Linked DNA regions of Daphnia pulex. Each later gene encodes a partner of the first gene's protein in a complex. Links are inferred from orthologs where the notes say so. Each region holds a gene or a part of one and is shown on either strand. Other genes may lie near its edges.

Region 1 (4,587 bases):
CCCGACCCCGCCGCTTCTGTCCTAACCACACTACCAAAACTTCTCCTTTCTCTCAAATGGCGAAAAAAGAAAGTGGACAAATTCCCATCACACATGCATGTAAAATCTTTACGGGGCACACACAAGCGGCAAAGAGGTGTTTTTCTGTGGATCACGAACGACATTTTTTTTTCAGGATCTCAAATCAGTCTAGAAAGTAGACTCCACAACGACGAGTTATGGAGAGCATCAAAGATTGGATGTGTTTTTTGACCTTATAAAGATATACATATGGTGAAAGCGTCTAGGAGGCAACGACTGGCGATAAACAAAACCACCGTTCTTCGAATTTGAGGAAATAAAAACTTGGGAGGTTTTGAAATAAAAAAAATTAAAATGCTCAATCCTACGATTTCCTCCCCTCCCTTATATCTTTTTCTCTCTTCGCAGTGCGATTGACGATTGGATTTCATTTCTTTATTTTGAGCCCCAATATGCGAATCCTGTAAATAAATGTAACAAGGAAAACATACCCAAATAGGTGGACACCACCGTTCCTAAACGTCCGTCTCCTCACTTCAACCTACCCAACTCTTATGATTATTGTGTTTCTTTTTTTTTTTTTTGAATTTTTTGCCACAATCAAACCGTCAACAGTTCTTTTTTGTGTGTGCGTGAATGCGTGTCATTGAAAGGAAAAAAACCTCTATTCTCGCCCTGATCTTCCTTCATATTTTCCTCATTTACCTTGTTTGAACACTGAAAATTTTTTAAAAAGTAAAAATTATCTTATAAGAAAAATTCTGCTAGAATCGACTTTGTATGTGTGAGTGAGTGTGAGTGTTCGTCTATGGCAACTTGTGGCACAGCGCATCGTGTCTTCGTAAGTGTGCGTCTGTATTATCAAGTCAGTTGGATGACATTAGTGTAATTTGTACAGGTGAAAACAACAAAAAAAAAACAAATTCTCAGTGCTATTATTCTATTTTGTATCGAGATGACGCGTTGGACTCGGTCTCCCAAATTGGGCGTCATTAAATTCTGAAAAAAAAGCGATGTCATCTTTATAATGTTTTCTCGAGCGAAACTGAACTTTTCCCGTATTTCCTTCTGCTCCAACTCCACCACCACTCCTCCACAACAAAAAAAAGCAGCTGAGAGCATTGCTTTTTTGTATAATGATAAAAGGGAACAACTTTTTTGTGCTTGTCGATTAATTATTATTTTTCATTTTCGTGTGTGGTCGGTCTTTTTTTTCAATCTTTTTTCTTGTGCGTGTTATACGTGACTGTTGTGGACAAGATAATGTGTACAGGATAATTTGCAGTTCATTTGTAAATATTACTTGTTACTCTTTTGATTACAAACCGTCTGATCATTCTTAAAATAAGCTGATTCGTTTTTACTTTATTTTTCAAATATCCACACCCTATTTTGAGAAAACAATAAATCCATGGACGAATATTGAATAGATAGATAAATGGGTTTTTGGCGGTAATCGTGTTTCAATTTCAACGCAATTGTTTCAATTTTCTTACTGGCGGGAATTTACTTTGAATAGATGGCGCTGTGATGGTAGGTGGCGTTGGCATCATCTACCGACTACCGGTACGAAAAATTATCACACGACAATTCCCCACAGACGAATTCGAAGTCCAAGTTTCGAATACGTTCAGCTTTTGCCCTTGTGGTTATTAGGTTTTTTTAGTGAAATAAGCTTTACTTTTGGTTGAACTGTCACAAGTTTTAAAATCAAAAGATGTGGACCAAGTCTAAGGACCTCCACAGTCTGGTTGAAGACACAATTAATAACCAGCAATGCAACAGCCTAGACAATCTGGAGAAAGCATTGAAAAATCACCGTTCAGATTTCTCTGCCCTTCTTAAACAGCCGGTAATTTCATGAATCAGATTAAATCTGTGTTCTAAGCTCAAGTCAAATTCATTTTCAGGCAAAAAATCTCGATGACAGAAACCTTCTCCTAAAATCTGTCAAAGAACCTGTTCTTTTCCCTGGAAGAAAGACGACTGCTTCACTTGAACAATCGTTTGTGGATGAAGCACTCATTATCTCTGATATGTTTAATCTAAACGAAAATGTTGCTGTTGAACTTTTACACACAGCAGAACAGCAAATGCATTACTATCCAGAATTAACCAGGGGTTTGATTTCAGTACTGCTGTACTATGATGCTAGACGTGCCATTGTCAATTCATTAAAAATTCTCATCCAAGCAAGGAAAGGAATTTCATGGGCTGTAGACACCAGCGAACAAGTTGTTGACTTAATAACAGAGTACACCGTTAAATTGGTGAAAAAAGGTTTGGTAGATCAAATCATAGCCCTGTTAAGTCAACTGAACCTTGAAAAGGAAATCAATTTGCTCCACGAAAACCGAGCTCTCGGTGGACCAAAACACAGAAGGTTTGTTTACAATTAAGATTAATATTTCTTTCTTTTAATTTTTTGTGTTTTTTATTTTAGACAAGTTCATGATTTCTTCACTGAAATAAGGCAGTCGTTAGCGGACATTGTATTTTGTTTGGCTGCTCAAAATGGACTGTGTAGGGACGATACACTGCTGCTAGTGAATTACCTTTCATCTGTCGAACAAGTCGATAACGTCAACGTCACTCTTTTCATGGCTCTTTTGTATGCTATTGATATCAGCGGTATCGTTAGAACTGAAGAAAGTGAAGACGTCGTCCGGTTGTTACCCATCACTTCGGAAAGTGCATTTGTTGCGACTATTCAAAAGCGTCTGACAGAACCACTTCCTTGGAAGAACATTGGCCTTCAAGCTTCAGTTCAACTTGCCTGGGCAGTGACTTTGGCTACTTTCCGTTCGCTTTCATCTGGACTTTGCGCTCCAATTCAAATGCAGGTTGACGAAGACGAAGCCATCCTAGACGTCGCGTTAGAGGGAAAAGCTTTGAATTTTCTCAGTCATCTACTACAAACCAAAAATCATATCTACAAAGAGGAGTTTTACTTACGGCGATTACATTCACTTGTGACGGATCTAATTGTTCAAATGCCCCTGAAAATCAAAGATCTTCGTAATAAGGCCGATGAAGTTGCACGTAACATCTTTGTCTATCAGCAAGAGGGCCTTGAGCCACCTTCAAACCTGCCGCTGGATTTTCAATGGTTGCTTAACTTTATCGCCGTTCTGTACGGAGAGGATCCTCTAGAGCTGGAACTGTGTCTTGAATTTTGGTCTAGTGACATGGCCAATGCTGGAGTAAACTACAGGTATATGGTTATTGTTTATTTTGAAATAAAAATAAAAACTTATCGCCTTTTTAATGCAGAGTCTCTCAGCGACAAATGGCCCTATATAAGTTTATTCGTTTGGCCGGGGATTTGCTACCGCCTTCTCTCTACATTTCTTATGCCAGCATGCTTTGCGGATTGGCAAATGGAAAGAGGGCAGCTCACCAAGCCTTTACCCTTCTGAAACAAAACAGCAACGGCGGTCAAAGCAATTTGATCTCTTGGGAACACTTTTTCTCATCACTCCACAGATATTTTAACAGTTTGCGCCAAGAGTCGCTCCCTGTACCGGACACCATCTACCGCCACAAGCCCCTCACAAAAGGCATTACACCACAGGAGGTTCAGGGATTGCAGGTCGTTTTGAAGTTAATGCGAATCGTTCTCCAACATGACCCTGTTGCCAGGATATCTTTGGCCGAGAATCCAACATGGATACCATTAGTCGTGATGATCGGACTCTTAGGTAAGTAAAAGCAAATAGCTATCGAATGAACCCGAAAAATACATCTTCTAAATTGTAGGCTGTGCTGTGCCATTGAGTTTGAAGGGAGAGATCATGGAGGTTCTTGCAGCTTTCGCCCAGTCACCTGACATCGCATATACACTGTGGAACAGCATTGAAATAGCTCAGATTTTGTCAACTACAAGCATAGTTTCAACAAATGTCAAAGGTTTGTGCATGAAGATAATTCTATATTAATTTCCTGCCCAGTAAAAAACAAAAAAAGGGTTGAATATTAGGTCTCCACACGGAATTGGAAGATGTTGAGTCTCGAGCTGAAGAATACCCCCTCACAAGAGCCTTTCTTAAATTACTGGACGTGATGACTGATATATCCATCCCAACCAACTTGGGAACTGGACATAGAACGCCTGGATTTGATCCCTACTTATTCTACGTTAAAGATTCCGTTTTCCTGAAATTTAGTGGTAGGGCGTACCGCAATGAAACGGAAAAATGGCAGGTTTGTTCGTTTAGGTTTAAAAAGTTGTAAAACAAAGTCTTAACATTGACTTCGTTTTGTAGATTGGAAATGCCTGTGTAAAGCTATTTTTAAAATTGCTCTCGAATTACGAACCCAGTGTGGATGATTTTCAGGACTCCTACATTGAATTACCGTCTGGTAAATCATAATTAAGTTTTAAGAAAACTTGTTCTTAATGCTTGCTTTTTTTTTCCTGGTAGGCGGCAATGCCATTCGGTGCAAACCACCAGGGTATCATCTTTTGGTGCAATGTCTGCACGACTCCAACTTTTTGCGCCTCCTGCTTCATGTGGTGGACGAAGGCTGTCGTGTCTTGGATCTTTACACACCCACGCCAGGAAT
Region 2 (4,430 bases), about 1.6 Mb from region 1:
GGACCTGCCGAGCTCCGACAGAGAAGAGTTCACCTTCGCCAATATTATGACCGTAATGGAATATTCCTTGGAACATCATGTGAAGCTGGACTACTATATCGGAAACGAATGGACTGGTGGAGTCGAATGGTTGATTATCGACCAGATCGACATTTTGACTGAACTCCTTCCAACACTGAATGAACAAGAACTTCACCGATTCAAGCGGACTCTCTACAATTTCATTGGAGACGACTACAGATTTAAAATAGTCGAAAAGGGCAATCTCCTCCATCTTGCCTGCTGCTCCTACACAATTATAACGAAACTCTTTCCCCTAAACGTCATGAAATTGTTACTGGAACTCGGAGTCGACCCAAGTGCCACCTCGTCCAACGGAATGACGGCCCTTCACGTGCTGGCCAGTATTGAATGGGAGCGCTGGTCGATCAACACCATAGACGCCATCCAGTTACAGTTGTTGGACTCGGATGCTCATATCGACCAGCCCGATGATGTGGGCATAACACCTTTGGACCTCTTTAAACTAAAGGAAAAAGAACTGGCTGAAAACGGGATCTCAAATGTTTACCTTGGGGCCGTTCACATATGACGTCACGGACTTTTTGACGATTTTACACCCCCCCCCCTCCCCCCTTTGTCACAATTCATCACAGTAGGTATACCCCCCCTCTAATATGACGTCACAAAGTCAGATACCCCCCTCCCTTTTTAAAAATTGTTTGAGCCCCTAAAAATTCTTTATTTTCTGTATTTTCTGTAGTTTTTAATACAGAACACAATGTTGTTCATTATTTTCTTAATTGGTCAAGCAAACGAGGTGCTTTGCTCTAACGATCCAAAAAACTAAAAGAAATTTAGGAAGTTGCCAACATATCCCACTTGGTGGCGCTTGTGTAGTGCCTTGTGACGTCCCACTGTGAATACCCCCCCTACCCCCCCTCGTCACAATTCGTCATACAAGGTGCACCCCCCTCCCCCCCCTCGGCCCGTGACGTCATATGTGAACGGCCCCCTTCAAAGACTGATTCATAAAGTGCGGCCCCTCACATGTTTAGCTGCCCAAGTCGTGAGCCGTCATGGAATCCCATTCGACGACCTGCCGTCCAGTTTAATTTCGTTTGTCAACCGTCACTCATTCTTAAATTGGAATAATTGATTGGAATGTAATGCAAATTGTCTTGGTTAAATCATCATTAATAAACTTGTTTTCTGATCAATTTCTTGTGTTAATTTTTTGCGTGTAAAAGGGGAGAGAATGGACGACCTTCGGGAATGACGAGGTTGATTTAAATTTCTTCGGTTGAACGGAATAGAAATATTTGCGGTGGACTTTCGCTTTTCTGTCTTCCGCCAAAGTTAAAGGATTGGTTCTTCATCGTTAACCGCTAGATGGCATATACCTCCTTTCTTCTCGCTACTTCCACAGAAAAAATGTAGTTTCAAGTTTTGAACGTGAACGCTAACGATATCATTGAAAATCGGCTTGTCGACTTTTTTACCAATTAGACAGATACCAAATAAGATTTATACAAGAAAGTAAGGATAACTTATTCTTGAAATGGCATTTTCTAGTGGAAGTCTTTTCCAACCAGCCCAGTCTACTACATCCAACACAGGTAATACACACAAACTAGTGTCAACTCCAGCATTACTATATATTTGAATGATAATTATCTAAGTGAAATCATTTTGCCTTCGTTGTTGAACATGCTACAATGCATGGCTTTTTCATTTATTTTCTGTTTATTAGTTTTTCTTGAGATTACATTTTCTAGTCCAACCAAATGCTGCAATCATTTTTGTTCAAGCACAACACTGATTGAGAATTGTTCATTATTTTATCATAGAAATAGGAGATAACAAATAAAATTTTATAGAATTAAACTTATGTGTTGCAATGCATTTGACTCATTTTCACTTCTAGGAGGGCTGTTTGGAGGTACTGGTCAGACTGGTACTACTCCATTTGGAGGCTTTGGTGTGCAGCAAGTTAGCACAGCAAATCAGTCCTTTTCATTTGGAACTCCTCAAAATTCTGCTTCAACATCAGGATTTGGCTCTCAACAAACTAACACCACTGCAACAGTACCTTCTTTTGGTTTTGGCAGTACCCAACCTACTTCAGGTGCTCCAGCGTTTGGATTTGGTACCACCCAAACTAGCACAGCTGCTCCATCGTTTGGATTTGGTGCAACACAAACAAATACCACTACACCTGCTTTCGGATTCGGTGGAACTAATACTGGTGGAGCTCCATCATTCAGCTTTGGGCAGCCACAGACAAGCAACGCTGGATTCGGTTTTGGCACTGGAGCCCCTGCTGTCTCATCGTCGTCCGGACTTTTTTCTGGAACAGGTAATATTTTTTTATGGAATGACTTGGAACGAATTATTTGACTACTTTTCTGTATTAGGATTTGGATCTTTTGGAACATCTCTGGGAGGAACCGGGATAACAACACCAGCTTCTAGTAGCTTTTCTTTGGGAACTACATTTGGAAGTACAGCCCCAACAACAGGCCTGTTTGGTCAACAACAACAACAAACGTTTGCTCCTGCTCAGCAAGCCGGTACTGTTGTCGAATCTGTTCTCTCATCCGTACTTTACTGTAACATTTACGGTGATGAGCGCGATGCAATCTTGGCTCGTTGGAATCTCCTTCAAGCAGCTTGGGGAACCGGAAAAGGTTTGACTCCACCTTAATTGCGGTTCAATTTAAATATTAGAATGTCTTCATTTTACTCACATTGTTATTGGTGTCTAGGATTTTACTCTGGCACGGCTAGTGCTATCCAATATACTGCAGAGAATTCATTGTGTCGCTTTAAAGCCATTGGCTACAGCAAACTACCACAAGGAAAGAATGAAGATGGAATAATTGTTTTGCTGTTTAACAAACCCGAAACAGATATTCGGTAGATAAAATTATAAAAACCGTAATTGCATATAGATTTATTTATGGATTCAATTTGCAGGCGAGACCAAGCTCAGTTAGTCAGTGTGATAACTACGGCGCTGGGCAATAAACCCAATCTGAATGTGTCCGTCGAGGGCGTGTCTGGCCTAGACACAAATAAGACAGAGGTTTTGATTTGTGTTCAAGAACGCTCAGCAACTGGCGCAATTCATAAAGTGCCTGCCATTGAATTGTCTAACTTCCTTTGGAATCAACAACCATCTGGGATGATGCAGTCGGCTCGTGGTCAGCTCAGCGCACTTGGAGTCGTTTCGTGTGTTCCTAGAGTCCGACCATCACCCGAACAATTGCGCGAATATCTAGCATCGCCTCCAGCTGGGATTGACGCTCGCATTTGGAAACAAGCTCAATCAGAAAATCCTGATCACGATAACTTCATACCCATACCACTGATCGGATTTGGTGACCTTGTTCGTCATTTACACCTACAGGTTCGCATTTCTATATTTAACTTATTCACACTACGCAAATAGTTGAGTTGAAAAAAATAAATCATTGCAGGAGAAAGAGACTCGACGACACCAAGGAACCCTGGACAAGTTAGCTGAGGAATTAGCAAGCCTGCAATCTCGTGCATCAGAAACATCGGTTGCGCTAAGTGAACAGCGACGACGATACATCGACTTGCAACATCGAATCCTCAAAGTTCTTATAAAGCAAGAATGTTCTCGGAAAGAAGGTTTTGCTCTACAGCCAGAAGAGGAACGTTTGCGGGTGCAGCTAGAGTCTGTGCACAATGAACTAAGCATCCCTACGCAATTTCGAGTAACATATATATTTTTCTAATTAAATGTTAAGTTTATAGAATAATGTTTTACACTGTCAACATCAGGGTCGCTTAAACGAATTGCTTTCGCAAATAAGAATGCGCCAATCTGCCTTTACGCCAGCGGAACGAATGACTGAGAGGTACAACATTGAACCAAATGTTTTGGATGATCTGAAACAAGTAAGGAAGTTGTCACAATTTTTAAAGTTAATTTGTTAGCTTTGTCTCATTTTGAATGATCTCGTTCCTATAGGTCCTTAAGTCACAGCAAGAAGGAATGGCTCAGTTAATGAATGTATTGAAAGAAGATTTTAATGATTTGCTTGTTTTAGATAATGCTTTGAAACACTAAAATAGCGACCGAAAATATTCTTCATCAACTAAGTACGAATTTTACTGTTTTCAAGGGTCTAATACACGGAAAAAAAATTTCATTAAAAAAAAATCTTTAGATTCATATCATAATTGAAAATTAGTAGATCGTATTTGATTTTTTACTTTCGTAAGAATATTAGCCAATTTCTCGTACTCGTACTCGTTTATTAGATAATATAGCGTGTTACAATCAATAGTTCATTACATTACACATTGGGTAATACAAACCGCGATTACAATACAAAGAAGTTAAACTTTTACGTAAACAGCAAATAATCGTGACAAAATATTGCTGTCCGATAGTA

Evidence for each region.
Region 2: nuclear pore complex protein Nup205-like (region 1) and nuclear pore complex protein Nup54-like share a complex: the UniProt entries of both Drosophila melanogaster proteins name them as parts of the nuclear pore complex. The link is inferred for Daphnia pulex from reciprocal best matches to the Drosophila melanogaster genes Nup205 and Nup54.

What each region holds. Positions count from the first base shown.
Region 1 is NC_060022.1:5,062,887-5,067,473, reverse strand, and holds the start of nuclear pore complex protein Nup205-like, read left to right. Parts: upstream 1-1,558; 5' UTR 1,559-1,738; coding exon 1,739-1,873; intron 1,874-1,931; coding exon 1,932-2,404; intron 2,405-2,464; coding exon 2,465-3,235; intron 3,236-3,294; coding exon 3,295-3,722; intron 3,723-3,780; coding exon 3,781-3,930; intron 3,931-4,000; coding exon 4,001-4,224; intron 4,225-4,286; coding exon 4,287-4,383; intron 4,384-4,445; coding exon 4,446-4,587. UniProt on the Drosophila melanogaster protein: Plays a role in the nuclear pore complex (NPC) assembly and maintenance, but with limited role in NPC permeability. Required for specific nuclear import pathways such as Mad import.
Region 2 is NC_060022.1:6,652,400-6,656,829, reverse strand, and holds the start of nuclear pore complex protein Nup54-like, read left to right. Parts: upstream 1-1,390; 5' UTR 1,391-1,561; coding exon 1,562-1,619; intron 1,620-1,927; coding exon 1,928-2,359; intron 2,360-2,417; coding exon 2,418-2,690; intron 2,691-2,768; coding exon 2,769-2,919; intron 2,920-2,979; coding exon 2,980-3,412; intron 3,413-3,482; coding exon 3,483-3,746; intron 3,747-3,813; coding exon 3,814-3,930; intron 3,931-4,003; coding exon 4,004-4,102; 3' UTR 4,103-4,430. UniProt on the Drosophila melanogaster protein: Component of the nuclear pore complex (NPC), a complex required for the trafficking across the nuclear envelope. Essential for the nuclear import of nuclear localization signal (NLS)-containing proteins in an importin alpha/importin beta-dependent manner.